3 linked regions of the Rattus norvegicus genome follow. The protein of the gene in region 3 purifies or fractionates together with the protein of the main gene of each other region. This does not show direct contact. Links are inferred from orthologs where the notes say so. Each region holds a gene or a part of one and is shown on either strand. Other genes may lie near its edges. The genes, in order: Stxbp4, Wwc2 and Ptpn14.

Region 1 (3,621 bases), on a different chromosome or scaffold from region 3:
AAGTTGGTGATTATCAGCATGGACATATGCACATGACATCTGATACCACATGCACAGCCTAGTTGGCTTGGCCACAGGAAGGGCTAACAAATCTAGTAAAGAGGATACTTGAGTGATAACTAAGATTTGCATAAAACCAATGCAATTAGGTTTCTTAACCTTATTTTTAAAAAGTCAGTGTAGTGTGCATGTTTGGACAGGTCCGTTCATGTTCTGTATGTGAATGTGCGTGCATGTTTGTATGAGTCTGCATGTGTATATGCACATGCATGTGTGTACACGTATCCTGACATCCGAGTTAAACAGTTTGTAGGAGGAAAGAGGCAAATGCTCGTTCACTGGGGTAGACGAGTCTCCTATTCTGAAATATTCTTTATGCAGTGAGTGCTTGGTTTGCTCTATCTGAGTCAGAATCTTATCAGACTCAGAGCTGAGCTTTGAAAACAAGTGCCCTTTTGTGTACAGGCCAGTTTCTTATGGTAGACTGATTCATTAGCATAAGGATTTATTCACTGCATGTATAAACCACACAATTTTCCTTATGTATAATACTTAACTAGCCAGTAATAGAACATTTTGTTATTTGGATTCTCTAATTTTTTTACTCTGTTTATGGCATTATTCACAAGATTATTTGCTTTTCTTAGGTTAATTTTGTTAAAACTACTTTATTATTATTATTTTGTAATTTTCTGTTTGGCTTTTATTTTTAGGATGGACGTTTGAAGCCAGGAGATCAGCTTGTCTCCATAAACAAGGAATCTATGATTGGTGTATCATTTGAAGAAGCAAAAAACATACTTACCAGAGCCAAGTTGAGGTAACAATTCCATCCATATGATAGGATGAGTCATTGAGCACATATATATAAAGGTCGTGATGAGGCTATCTTAAAGGTTTTCACTGTACTAGAAACACTGTCTTTGCATTTACTTGACCGCATTTGTTGAATATCCACAAATTAATCTCTTTAAATCGTAGGTGGGAATCTCCGTTGGAGATAGCATTTATCAGACAGAAGTCTTACTGTGGTCATCCAGGAAACATTTGCTGTCAGTCCCCACCAGTGTCAGAAGACTGTGAACCTCAAACCTCAGCATTTAATCTTCTTTCCTCTCCCGCTGGAACACTACTTCCAAAGACTTCATCCACTCCCAGGACTCAGGACTCCATTTTACCCTCCTGTACAGTAATTCAGGTAACCTTAAATTCTAGTTTATATACTCAGTCCATAAATCTCTTACTTTTTTTGTTGTTGGTTAAATCAATATAGAATTGTAATTTCATTAACAATGCTTATTAATAAGTTAATATCTCCTTGAAATACTTTTCCTTTTTAGGTTTTTATCATGTAAAACAGATTTTTCAAGCTAATGTACCCTTTCTTTAAAAACTTAGAAAACATCAACATATAACAACATGGTACCATAAAGATACTAGACATCATTAATTCCCCAATTTTCTGTTTCTACCTAATAAAAGATAGGCGTGTGTGTGTGTGTGTGTACGCGCATGTGCGTGCGTGTGTGTGTGTGTGTGTGTGTGTGTGTGTGTGTGTGTGTGTGTGTTCAGTCCTTAGTGTCTTCTCTTCATGCTAAGGCTGATCCTGATCATCCTGTCTATGGATAGTGTTCCTCTCACCCTCACATGTGTGTCCTATGAAATTGTTCACCTTACCTATTTGATTCCAAAACATGAGGAATTTATTATATCCAGAGTAATGTATTTGCTTTGAACTGCTACATGGTCGTAATAAATCATAATTCCAAAGTAGAATCTATATTCTTTAAATCTGTGTTAGGAATAAAACACAAGAAGCAAGTAGACTTTCACTCATAGATGAGTTCCTTAAGGTAACGTCTGTTCAAGGTGATGGTGATCAAAAAGACTGTTCTGTGAGCGCTTGGACTGCTTCTTTTAAAGACAAGGGGCATGGCCTTCTGTTCTCTTACCCTTAGACACGATAGACTAAAAGCACTGTTACTTTCCACTCTGAAATGCTTTCTCTGAAGATGAATATAGCGAGTATTAGGAACTTCATATTTTTTGGAATCTTTCTTTGATCTTTTTAACCATTCTATTTATGTTAACATGCGCGTCTAGTTTGTGCTTTGACCTACTTTAGAAAGTGACTTATCATTTCCCTCACAGACTCAACCTGAGCACAGTCAAGCAGGGCTTGCTCCAGTTCCTTCTTTGAACAACCGCCCTACAGACACATCCAATGCAGGTAAATTCCCATTTAATTCCTGCTCTGTTTATCAACTACTCTTTTTCAGTGAGTGATTGAAAATTAGTAATATGACTCAATAGATCTTAAAGATGGCGTAGTGCCTTTCAGTGAATAAAAAAAGCAAAATAAGTGTATTGTTTGATGCTTTCTGTTAAATCTTGACTTTTGCTAGAACTATCTCTGAACAAAGAGTTGCAGTTTTAAAAAGTGCATTATAATAAATGTCTATGAAGCTGTAATTGCTATCGAATTGTTGAACCAAGGAAATCAAGTAACGAAGAGTCAAGATACGAGTTCTTGTCTCTTTACTGAAGTACTGATGGGATATACAACTACAGCTTTGGAAACACAGTACACATAGCACAGAACTAAAGAAAGATATCTGTTCGTTTGCTTTGAAAGCTATCATACGGATATGAATTAAAAAGGACATCCATACCTCCTTTGATATAATTTTTGAATTACTGTAAAATGACTTAGTGATTTTAAAAATAATCAAATCAAAATGACCTAAGCTATACATAGAAAAGGATTTTCATCACTCCATAAAGTTCTTATTGACTCGAATATCGAGAAAAATAATCCTTCCACTGAAATTGTCTCCAAGTTAAAGACAATTTAGAAACTGTATTTACTATAACTAAAAGACTAACTACATATTCTTAATAACGATTTAAATTACAACCCACATATATTAATTTTTAACATTATTAATTTTTCTTAGAATTACAAAATACAGAGAACTGGTTTAGATGAAGTAGCTCCTAATCATGAACAAGTGGTCAGTTCATCAACAGAGCGTATGCTCACCAGGCTGAGGCCCTGTAATCAGTCCCCAGCACCAAAGAAAAAAGAAAAACCAGCATCAGACTTCACAGCAATTTATGCTGTCATCTTCATGTTTCCTCTGCCTGGGAGAAGGATTTTCCAATGGGTTAGAATTTTTTAACCAAAATTATATACCTTTTAATTACTGAGATTTAGTGATTCTTGGAAATAATATTAATTAGTATTCCTTTCACATAATTAACATCCAGTCTCTTGATAGACTGTTTTTATTTTAAATTGGGAGCTCACATGGAAAGACAAAAAAGACAGATGACTAAAGCAGCCAGTCTAAGATGTGGGGTCACAGTTGCTCCATGATGAAAGTCGGGGTCTTTCTTCTTCCACTGTTGTGAGACATTAGTTATATAATGTGTGTAATACATTTTCAATTTTTAAAACAACCAAAGTAAGTACTCCCCATAGCCATTTATTTAGGGTACATTTGCTAAATGTTACCGAGTTAGCAACGAATGTAGCACAGAAGGAAGTTAAGAGAGATTCAGGGACTTTCTGTGAGTTATTTAATGTTATAGTAAAAGAAATCATGAAGGTTACATCCT
Region 2 (4,231 bases), on a different chromosome or scaffold from region 3:
ACCTACTGAGGACTAGGACCCTGACTGATTATCTTACTACTAATGGGCTGAGGCAAAAAACAGGTTAGGAAGTGGAACCTTCCCTGGACAAAGCACAAAACCCAGCTTCCACAGGCCTTGGCATTATGGGAAAGACCTAGAAAGTGAGAGGTTTCCCTCGGGAGCCACAGCCGCTCTCTGGTTGTCCTTCCCAGGTGTACCCGGCTTTCCAGTTCTGGGGGATTTCAAGTGTCTGCTTCTGCACAAGCTGTTTCATTCAGAATAAGTCCCTTTCCTCTTCCTAACATCCCCTTCAGAGCATGTGGAGTCCCCTTCTGGAAGCTTGATTCAAGGCTTGGTTCTTACTTGTTTAGTTCTATTGACAACTTCAGCAAGTGCCCAGACACAGAAAATGTCCTGCCCAATGCCAGGTCCTGAAGTTATTACATTAGCACATATGATTAAGGGAATTCACACCGAGAGGTGAAGGACTGAACGATGGGGCCTTTCTTCCTAAGGTGCTGCTATAATCTGCTTAGGGGCCTGGAAGAATATTAACAAGGGTGGTGACACACAGCAGACTGTAAAGGTTGGGGACAGAAAGGCTCCCTTCCAGACTGAGGATAAGGGACACTGCAAGCTTAGTGTCTTGACTCTGCCGAGGCTTTGTAGTGTCTGACATCCGGCTCCTACTCAGTGCCGACCAGCACTTAATAGCTAAATAAATAAATGTTTGTGAGGTAAGATCTACATCTCATAGATGGACCCTTGATCAAGCAAAGTGTGGCCTCTGACCCCTGCCTTGGGCTCCCTTCGGAGTGATTAACACCTTCGGGCGAAGAACTTCCTAGGACAGAGGGTTGGAAGGAAGGGACTAGATATTGGACGCAGCCACGTCCCTTGGATTTAAACCCAGAAGGGGACGCCAGATGCACATGGCCCTGCCCCGGCGGGGAGGCGCGAGTGATTCGGACCCCCAGGGCCCGCGTGTGGCGGCGACAGTGGCGGGGTGGCCCTGTCGCTTCTAAGGATCAGGCCGGAGTTGCCCCGTGGGCCATTGGGGCGGACGTGTCGCGGCGCTCATGGATAGGGACCCGCCTTTACTTTGCTCCCTTAGGCCCGCGAGGTCCCTGGTGAGGTCACCGAGGGCCACTCTGAGCGGGAGGCTCGGGGGGCGCTGCGGCCCCGGACACGCCCCGGACACACTCCCAGCGCTTTTGCACACTTCCCCACCGCTAGGAACAGCCAAGGCACGGGGCGCGGCGTGGGGGTTGGGGGTGGGGGCGTTCTGTGCCCTTACTGTTTGTTGGGACTTCTTCCCAGGACAGCATTCCCCACCCTTTCCTCTCGAAAGTCTTGTGGTTTCCCTAGAAGACGGAAAGAGGTTGGGAAGGTTGCAGACTTTTTTCTTTAGACTTCTTTCTCGTCCAGAAAACTCCTAAATCCCCAAAGGGTCTGGCGGAGAGGAGACACCTCGGGTTGGAGAGGAGGGAGCGAGCCGAGCATTCCTTCGCCCTCCCGCCTCCCACCTGGCCTCGCCGCTCCCCTCCCCCGCGCGGGTTCAGCCCCGCGTCCCGCCGCGGCCGCCCCGGCAGCTGCAGGGTTAAGCTCAGGAATGTGGCGGCGAGGAATGTGCATGCAGATGAGGCGGGCGCGGGGCGGGCCGGGGGCGGGCCGCATGCTAATCGCACGCAAATGAGGAGGCCAGTCGCCGCCGGGCCGTTGCTCCGCGGAGCTTCCCGGATCCGAGCCCAGACGGCGTCGGCCGGGGCAGCCTGGGCGCCGCGACCCTCGGCAGCCACAGGGGGACGGGGAGGAGGAGGAAGAGGCGGAGGCAGCGGCGGCAAGGAGGAGGAGGGCTCGCTCGCCTGTTCCGACGCAGACATGGTGGACTGATCCCCGGCAGGGCTGAGAGCAGGGATTCCTGAGGCTCCTCCGCGCGTGGCCCACTGTGCCCCGAGCCCCGCACGCCCCTTGCCGGCACTCGCGTTCCCGCCGCGCCCCGCGCCGGGTCCCTATGGAGGCGCCGCTCGCCGGCGAGGCCGCCGACCATGCCTAGGAGAGCCGGGAGCGGGCAGCTGCCGCTACCCCGGGGCTGGGAGGAGGCCAGGGACTACGACGGCAAGGTTTTCTACATCGACCACAACACCAGGAGGACCAGCTGGATCGACCCTCGGGACAGGTGGGCGGCCGGGCCCCGGCCGGGTGCGGGGACCCGCCTCGGGAAGTGCTGCGGCGACTGTTGTCTGGGAGACCTGGAAGATGCGGGGGGCGTGGGGCGTCTCCTGTTCTGCAACTCTGAGGGGCTCCGGGATAGGCGCGGGACCGGCCTAGGCGCGGCTGTGTCTGCCCGCCAGGCGCCCCTTCTTGGGCCCCATTGCCCACTGCCTTCCCCACGCCCCTCAGGGACTTGTAGACACTCCCTGGCCCAAGGGAAGGGCCGGATTGGTGCCCTGGATTGGCACCCTAAGTCCAGTTAGCCGGCTCAGGGTGGGGGGCACTTGACCCCTCTTTAGACCTCCGGTGTGCTCTTTAAAGTTGGTCAGATGGAGGGGGAGGGCACCTTTCGACCTCTGTGAGGCACGCTGAGCTCAGGGCCTCCCGGAGGCCTAAGTGATGGTGAACATCTAGCCATCTGGGCCACCTGTGGCATCTCTCCAGCCCTACCTACCTAGCTCCTGAGCATTGACTGCAAGCTTTTACTAGGGCGCACCCCGAACCATGCCCTAGGTCCTGTACGTGGAGAGTGGGGTCCCAATCCTGGCTCGACCTTTGTAGCTTTGCCCCTAAGATTAAAAAAAAAAAGTTTTGGAATTTTGCTTCTAACCTTAGTTCCTCACCTGAAAACTTGGGTCAGATTTTCTTGTGAAATGGCATGGAGACTGGGACTGAACCTTGGCTACAGATACGGGTAGCCCAGACTTGAAGCTTAGCCTGATTTTGCACAGGTCTCACGACAAGCGTTTTTGTTCTTACCTGGAGATCTGAGCAAGTAGGCAGACATCTGAGAAGTTCAGGAGCTGAAGTTTAGTGGAATGCTCACCAGTGTTCTGTTTCTCAACTTTCTCTTCACTTTTAGGAGGAACATTTCTTAGAATTAAAGTTGTTAGAGGGCGCAGTATGGTCTCACACATCTGGCTAAACTCAGCACTTGTGAGGTGAAAGGCGGATCAGGAGTTCAAGGCCAATTTGGGTTATTCGAGATCCTGTCTCAAAAAAAAATTTAAAAAAAATAAAAATAAAGGAATACTAGAGTGCATTTTTTACTTGTAAATTTGAAAACTGTCCTTAAAGAGGTATTTTTGTTTTGTTTTGTTATTTTTTTCTAGACCGCCTCATACTGTATTGTATTGTCAGCTCAGGCTAACTGGCTTGGGACACATTATGTAACACAGGCTGGTACCAAACTCACAGCAATCCCCCTGCCTCAGCCTCCTCAATGCAGGAATTACAGATGCTAGGCACCGAGCCGGATTTGTTCCTCGTTGTAAATTCAATATCTTGTCGGGGATGCCCCTGCCCTTTGCAGTTTTAGCATTCCTGAAAAGTCCTACATGGTCTGAGAGGTCATAGCCTTTTCAGGAGCTTTTCCTGTTAAGCCCCACCCCCTCTTCTTAGTTTGAAACACACTTTTCTATTCGCTATCCCCAAGCACTCATTTCCTACAACTATTGTATGTGAAAGCTATTAAAAAGCAGTTATAAGAAAATCCCGAATGATATATATTTATGGAACAATCCTTGTTAAATTATCCATGAAGATAAGGTTTAGGTTTCCCTCATGTTGAGGAAAGACACCTGTGCCCAGGCCTCACCTCCGCACACCCCACAGGCCATTGCTGACTCCACGAAGGTTCTGACGGGAGTCACACCTCCATAGTCTCTCCAGGCACATTAGCTGTCATAAACCTCACCATGCTCCAAGCCTATTACTTATACGTTTGCACTTTGAAACTACTTAACGGACAGCAAACGTCGGTGCGGATGGGTGCGCACATGGCGGTGGTTTTGTGGGGCACCTGTATAAATATTTGACTTTTACAGTTGTATGGCAGCTCTGCGGACACTCGGAGTCTCCGGCTCACTGCCGCCAAAAAGCTTAGGCTTTCTAAGCATTCATTCCCCTGCCTCGGCTCACGTGCTTCCTATCACCTCACATTTGTCTACTGGAGAGGATTATAAGATGTGCAGGGGCTGGGTGAGGCAAACAGAAAGGGAAGTTACATGACTTGGTTTATCCTTAGCACCACTTT
Region 3 (4,158 bases):
GGGCATAAGAGACCTTTCATTCTTGTTTTGAGGTAGGGTCTTGCTATGTAGTCGAGGCCAACCTAGAACTTGTGATTTTCCTGTCTCTGCCGCCAGAGTGCCATTTTGATAGGATAAGGCCTGGAAGCTTTGTATCCCTTGCCTGTACAGTGAAGTAATTTAACGATATCTTGGGTGACAAGGACTTCGGGGTCCTTGAAAGGACTGGTCTTGAGACTTCCGAAAGAGAACAGACGCCAAGGCACCTTAAAAATACAGGCAACCCCGTTCACTTTACAACTACCAAAACCAAGGATCAGGGCTTGGGGGCTGGGATCTTCCTGAGTTAACCACTTGGCCAGCAACTCAGCGGGGCCTAATACAGGTTCCCTAGCCCGGCTGAGTGCCTTTTCCATTACACCGGCTGCGCCTCAGTAACCCCACCTCCGAAAGTGCTAACGCAGTTCCCTCCTAGTGCCTACCCAGGCGGGGTGGGGCCCCTCCGTGGCTTGGAACAAACCGGGAAAACCACATATTCCAACTCCTAGCACACAAAGGCTGGTTGGCCGTGGGGGCGGGGTGGGAGGACCGGAGCTAAGACTCACTACTCAGAGATCCTAGGATTCCGAGGAGAGCTTCTAGATTGTCTGCTCAAGGAGGCCACCCTAATTTGGCCCGCGTCTCCTGGGCGGTGGCGGCATGGGGGCATCCTGCTTGGAGACCTCACTCAAATAAATGGCCTGTTCTAGTTCCAGCGTCCCACCCCCTAGCTGCCCACGGAAATCTTGGAGGGACCGTCCTTTCCTTTCCGCTTTCCCCTCCGTCTCCTAAGCGTCGCACAGTTGGGTTGACTTGGGTCATCTCCCCCTCTCCACTTTCAGTCTATCTCACTCCAGGCACGTCCCTTCAGTCCAAGCCCCCCACCTTGGAAGGAAAACACGCTCCAAAGCTAGCCCATTAAAAGTGCACGACTTCTGCCCGGTCGGCCGAAGGAGCTCCCACAGCCTGGCATTCCTCGGATTCCAGTGCTGTGACGTCCCTGGGGACCGTGCGCCCGCAGCGGGGGAGCCCGGGCTCCTCTTTTCAGCGCTGGGCGCGCGTTCCCGAGGCTGGCGCGCGCCCTCCCCGGACGCATTCCTGGCCCGCCCAGCAAGCGCCCCGCGCACTCCCCGCCTCCCGGCCCCCAGCGCTGCGGAGCCGAGCCCCGGGCGGGGGAGCGCGGCCAGCGGCGCCTGCTCGTCCCCTCCCACCCGGCCCCTTCCTCCGCCCTCCCGGCCGCTCGCGCTTCCTGGCGCTCGGGCTCTCCCGAGGCTCAAGTTCTGCACAACTTCTCCCCGCTGCCCAGCGCCTCGGCCGCGGGCCCGGCCAGCTAGCTGCGCTCCTCGGCTCAGCCGACTCGTCCATAGGGCAGGTCCTCGTGGAGCATCTGGTGCCAAGTGGCTGCTGGCGGTCCCTCTCTGCGCCCCACCTCTCCGATCGCCCCGGTCCCCTCGCGCGGGACGGCGGTGCTCAGGTTCTTGGCCCTTTCTCCTCCCGGGTGCGCCCAGCGCGGCGGCCGCTGCGTAACCCTCCCTGCGCCCCTCCTCTGCCTGCTTCTAGAAGCCAGTGGTGGGGACCTAGACTCGCTGATGGTCAACGTGCGGCACCCGGGTCACTCCCGGGCCATGTAAGCAGGTAAGCTAGCCAGTCGGGAGCAGATACTCCAGCAGAGCCAACTTGGGCTTGCTGCCGCGGACGCCGGAGAGCGCGGTGGGGGCGCCAGGTGGCCGGCCGCCGGGTTCTCTTCGTGTGCGGCGCTCGCTCCTCCAGGATTGAGCTGGAAAGGGAGCGCGGTCTGGGACTCTGGGGTTCAGCCAAAACGTCTCCAATAGCTCCTGTTGTGTTTGCCAGCAGGGGAATACAGCGCAGCGCCCCAAGCGTGCCCTGTGCCTCTGTGGGCACTGAGTTTGTGAGGAGTCCTTGTGCACTCTCTCCAATGCCCCAGAGGTGATACCAAACTCCCGATTCTCTTGCTCCAGCTTGGGTGATCCGACAAGCGCGCAGGGAAAAATTGTGTGCATCTCAGACCAGATCTCCAGCTCGAACTTTGCAGGTTCTGAGAGTTAGCAGCCCCTTTCCCACGTGACCCCGCGTCTAGTTTCGAATCTTTGGGAATGGTTTTCCTATCTTTTCTGGAGGAATTGATGTGCGCTGTCACTATCCCCTTCCTTTGCCCTTCTTCCTTCGGTTTGAGGAGCTTGTGCGGTTTTGAGTTTAGTCCGTCCACGGATTAGCTATTACGGGGTCCTACTGGAGGCGAGTTACGTTCAGACTGCTGCTGGATGGTCAGATTCCAAAACAAGTTTATTTCTTGAAATGGATTCCCTCCCTCATTCATTCAACGAACTCAGTGGTGAGTCTAATCCTCTGCCAGGAGATCCCACTACAAGAGTCTGCAGCACCCCGAAGGCAGCCCGTGGGCGGATAGGGACATGTGCTGCAGGAGAGGGGTTCTGTGAGAGTCGGTGAAGGCCAGGTGGTGGAGGAAAGGGGTTACCTTCGTCGAGGGAGGGAATGATGCTCAACTTAGGAGTGGTTGAGGGACTGCATTCCAGAGGAGGAAACAGCTTGGGCAAAGTGAGGGGCGCGGAGGGGGGCGTGCAGAAAGTCTTGGAGAGAGACCCGGTGGCTGGCGGGGCATGTATGGGCAGGTTGGTGCACTGTTGCTGGCATAGTTAGCCCCCACCCCAGCAGAAACGAAACCGGAAGTCTCTTACCCACTTCCCGTGACCAGGAGTAGCTTCCAAGGATCAAAAGCTTTCCCTTTGGACGTGTTTCCTCTATTGATGTGTCTCCCACACGGTTCTGGGGGGTGACAGGTGTTTGTCATTAATTGACCCATCCTTGGTTCTGTCAAAGTATCCCAGTGAGGACCACCCCATCTCCCTACAGAACCTTGTCCTGAGGGAGCTTTTGACATTTGTATCTTAGAATTGGTTTGGTTTTGTTTCCCCTTTGGTGCTGGGGACAGAACCTGGTCAGGGCCTTTTGCTCACCGGGCAAGTGATTTTCCTTTTCCCAGGTCCCTAACAGCTTTCTTACCTAACAGCCACCTTACCTGTGGAATGTGTGGCTGGCATGTGGAGAATCAGTTCAAGGATGTTGCTCTGTGTCTCAGAATCACTGCCTTTAAAAAGTAGTTTCCAGGGGTTGGGGATTTAGCTCAGTGGTAGCGCAAGGCCCTGGGTTCGGTCCTCAGCTCCGGAAAAAAAAAAAAGTAGTTTCCGCAATGTCTTGAGGTTTTCTTTCCTTTCTCTGAACCTGTGGAAACTGAAATCTCCCATCCCTGTAACGCAGGGTCCAGTACATCCTGCCGGAAAAAGCTCCTTGGTGCAGGAGAGGTTGTCCAGTCACCTCTATGAGGGACTTCTTCACTGGGCTGAAGTGTATATGCCTAGTGGTTGCTCCTGGCCAAGACACCAGATCTCCAGCCTTCAGGTGTCTTAAGCTGGTACGTAGAAGTGGCTCCTTGCAACTTGAGTGTGTTTATTCAAGGTTCTCTCCCAGCCCATCTTTGATCTCAAGAGCAAGCATTTCCATGATGGGAGATCTGGAATGTGTGTGGGACCTGCATGAGGGAAGTGTGTACCAAGAGGCCGTGGCTTCTCCTCACCGATTGGTCCTAGGTCTCCTCTGGGATCTCCTCCTTGGTTTGTGCCAACTCACAGCACCGCAGTTATTCACGTTTGTGTGTGCATATGTTCCGTGGTCAGTTGAAAGAGAATTGCCTAAGGGAGACTTTTAATATTGGCACAGCACAGAGAATTCAGAGGAAATCAGAGTTTTCAGAAGAGTTCTCCCTTGCTCTGTGGAAGAGCAGAAGTCTAGGACTGAGGATTTCCCCAGCATGTGCTTTCTGACTGAATTATGTTCCTGCCCGTCAGGGATACAAATATTGACCTCTTCCTAGCAAATTGAGCTCACCTGGGTTCCAGCAGTCTTGTCTGTTTCTTGAAAAAGAATTTGGACACATTCTTTCTTTTGAACTTTTCATTGCTTGGTTACCTAGTGCTGTGTGGGTTTCAGATCCATCCCGAGCCTCGGAATTTTGTTAGGCACTTGGTTGGAGGTAGGGCAGGAGGAGAGATAAGATGAAATACTTAATTAGCCAATTAAGGACGGAGGGAAACAGACACCAAC

Evidence for each region.
Region 1: the proteins of Ptpn14 (region 3) and Stxbp4 purify together in Homo sapiens (affinity purification with mass spectrometry; 3 studies listed by BioGRID and IntAct, counting the BioPlex papers as one, with this or other methods). This does not show direct contact. The link is inferred for Rattus norvegicus from reciprocal best matches to the Homo sapiens genes PTPN14 and STXBP4.
Region 2: the proteins of Ptpn14 (region 3) and Wwc2 purify together in Homo sapiens (affinity purification with mass spectrometry, with the first as the bait; 3 studies listed by BioGRID). This does not show direct contact. The link is inferred for Rattus norvegicus from reciprocal best matches to the Homo sapiens genes PTPN14 and WWC2.

Annotation. Positions count from the first base shown.
Region 1 is NC_086028.1:75,917,620-75,921,240, reverse strand, and holds part of Stxbp4 (syntaxin-binding protein 4), read left to right. Parts: intron 1-713; coding exon 714-820; intron 821-981; coding exon 982-1,198; intron 1,199-2,151; coding exon 2,152-2,230; intron 2,231-3,621. UniProt on the Homo sapiens protein: Plays a role in the translocation of transport vesicles from the cytoplasm to the plasma membrane. Inhibits the translocation of SLC2A4 from intracellular vesicles to the plasma membrane by STX4A binding and preventing the interaction between STX4A and VAMP2.
Region 2 is NC_086034.1:50,989,782-50,994,012, forward strand, and holds the start of Wwc2 (protein WWC2), read left to right. Parts: upstream 1-1,314; 5' UTR 1,315-2,030; coding exon 2,031-2,161; intron 2,162-4,231. UniProt on the Homo sapiens protein: Regulator of the Hippo signaling pathway, also known as the Salvador-Warts-Hippo (SWH) pathway.
Region 3 is NC_086031.1:103,798,248-103,802,405, forward strand, and holds the start of Ptpn14 (tyrosine-protein phosphatase non-receptor type 14), read left to right. Parts: upstream 1-1,246; 5' UTR 1,247-1,653; intron 1,654-3,315; exon of another isoform or gene 3,316-3,469; intron 3,470-4,158. UniProt on the Homo sapiens protein: Protein tyrosine phosphatase which may play a role in the regulation of lymphangiogenesis, cell-cell adhesion, cell-matrix adhesion, cell migration, cell growth and also regulates TGF-beta gene expression, thereby modulating epithelial-mesenchymal transition.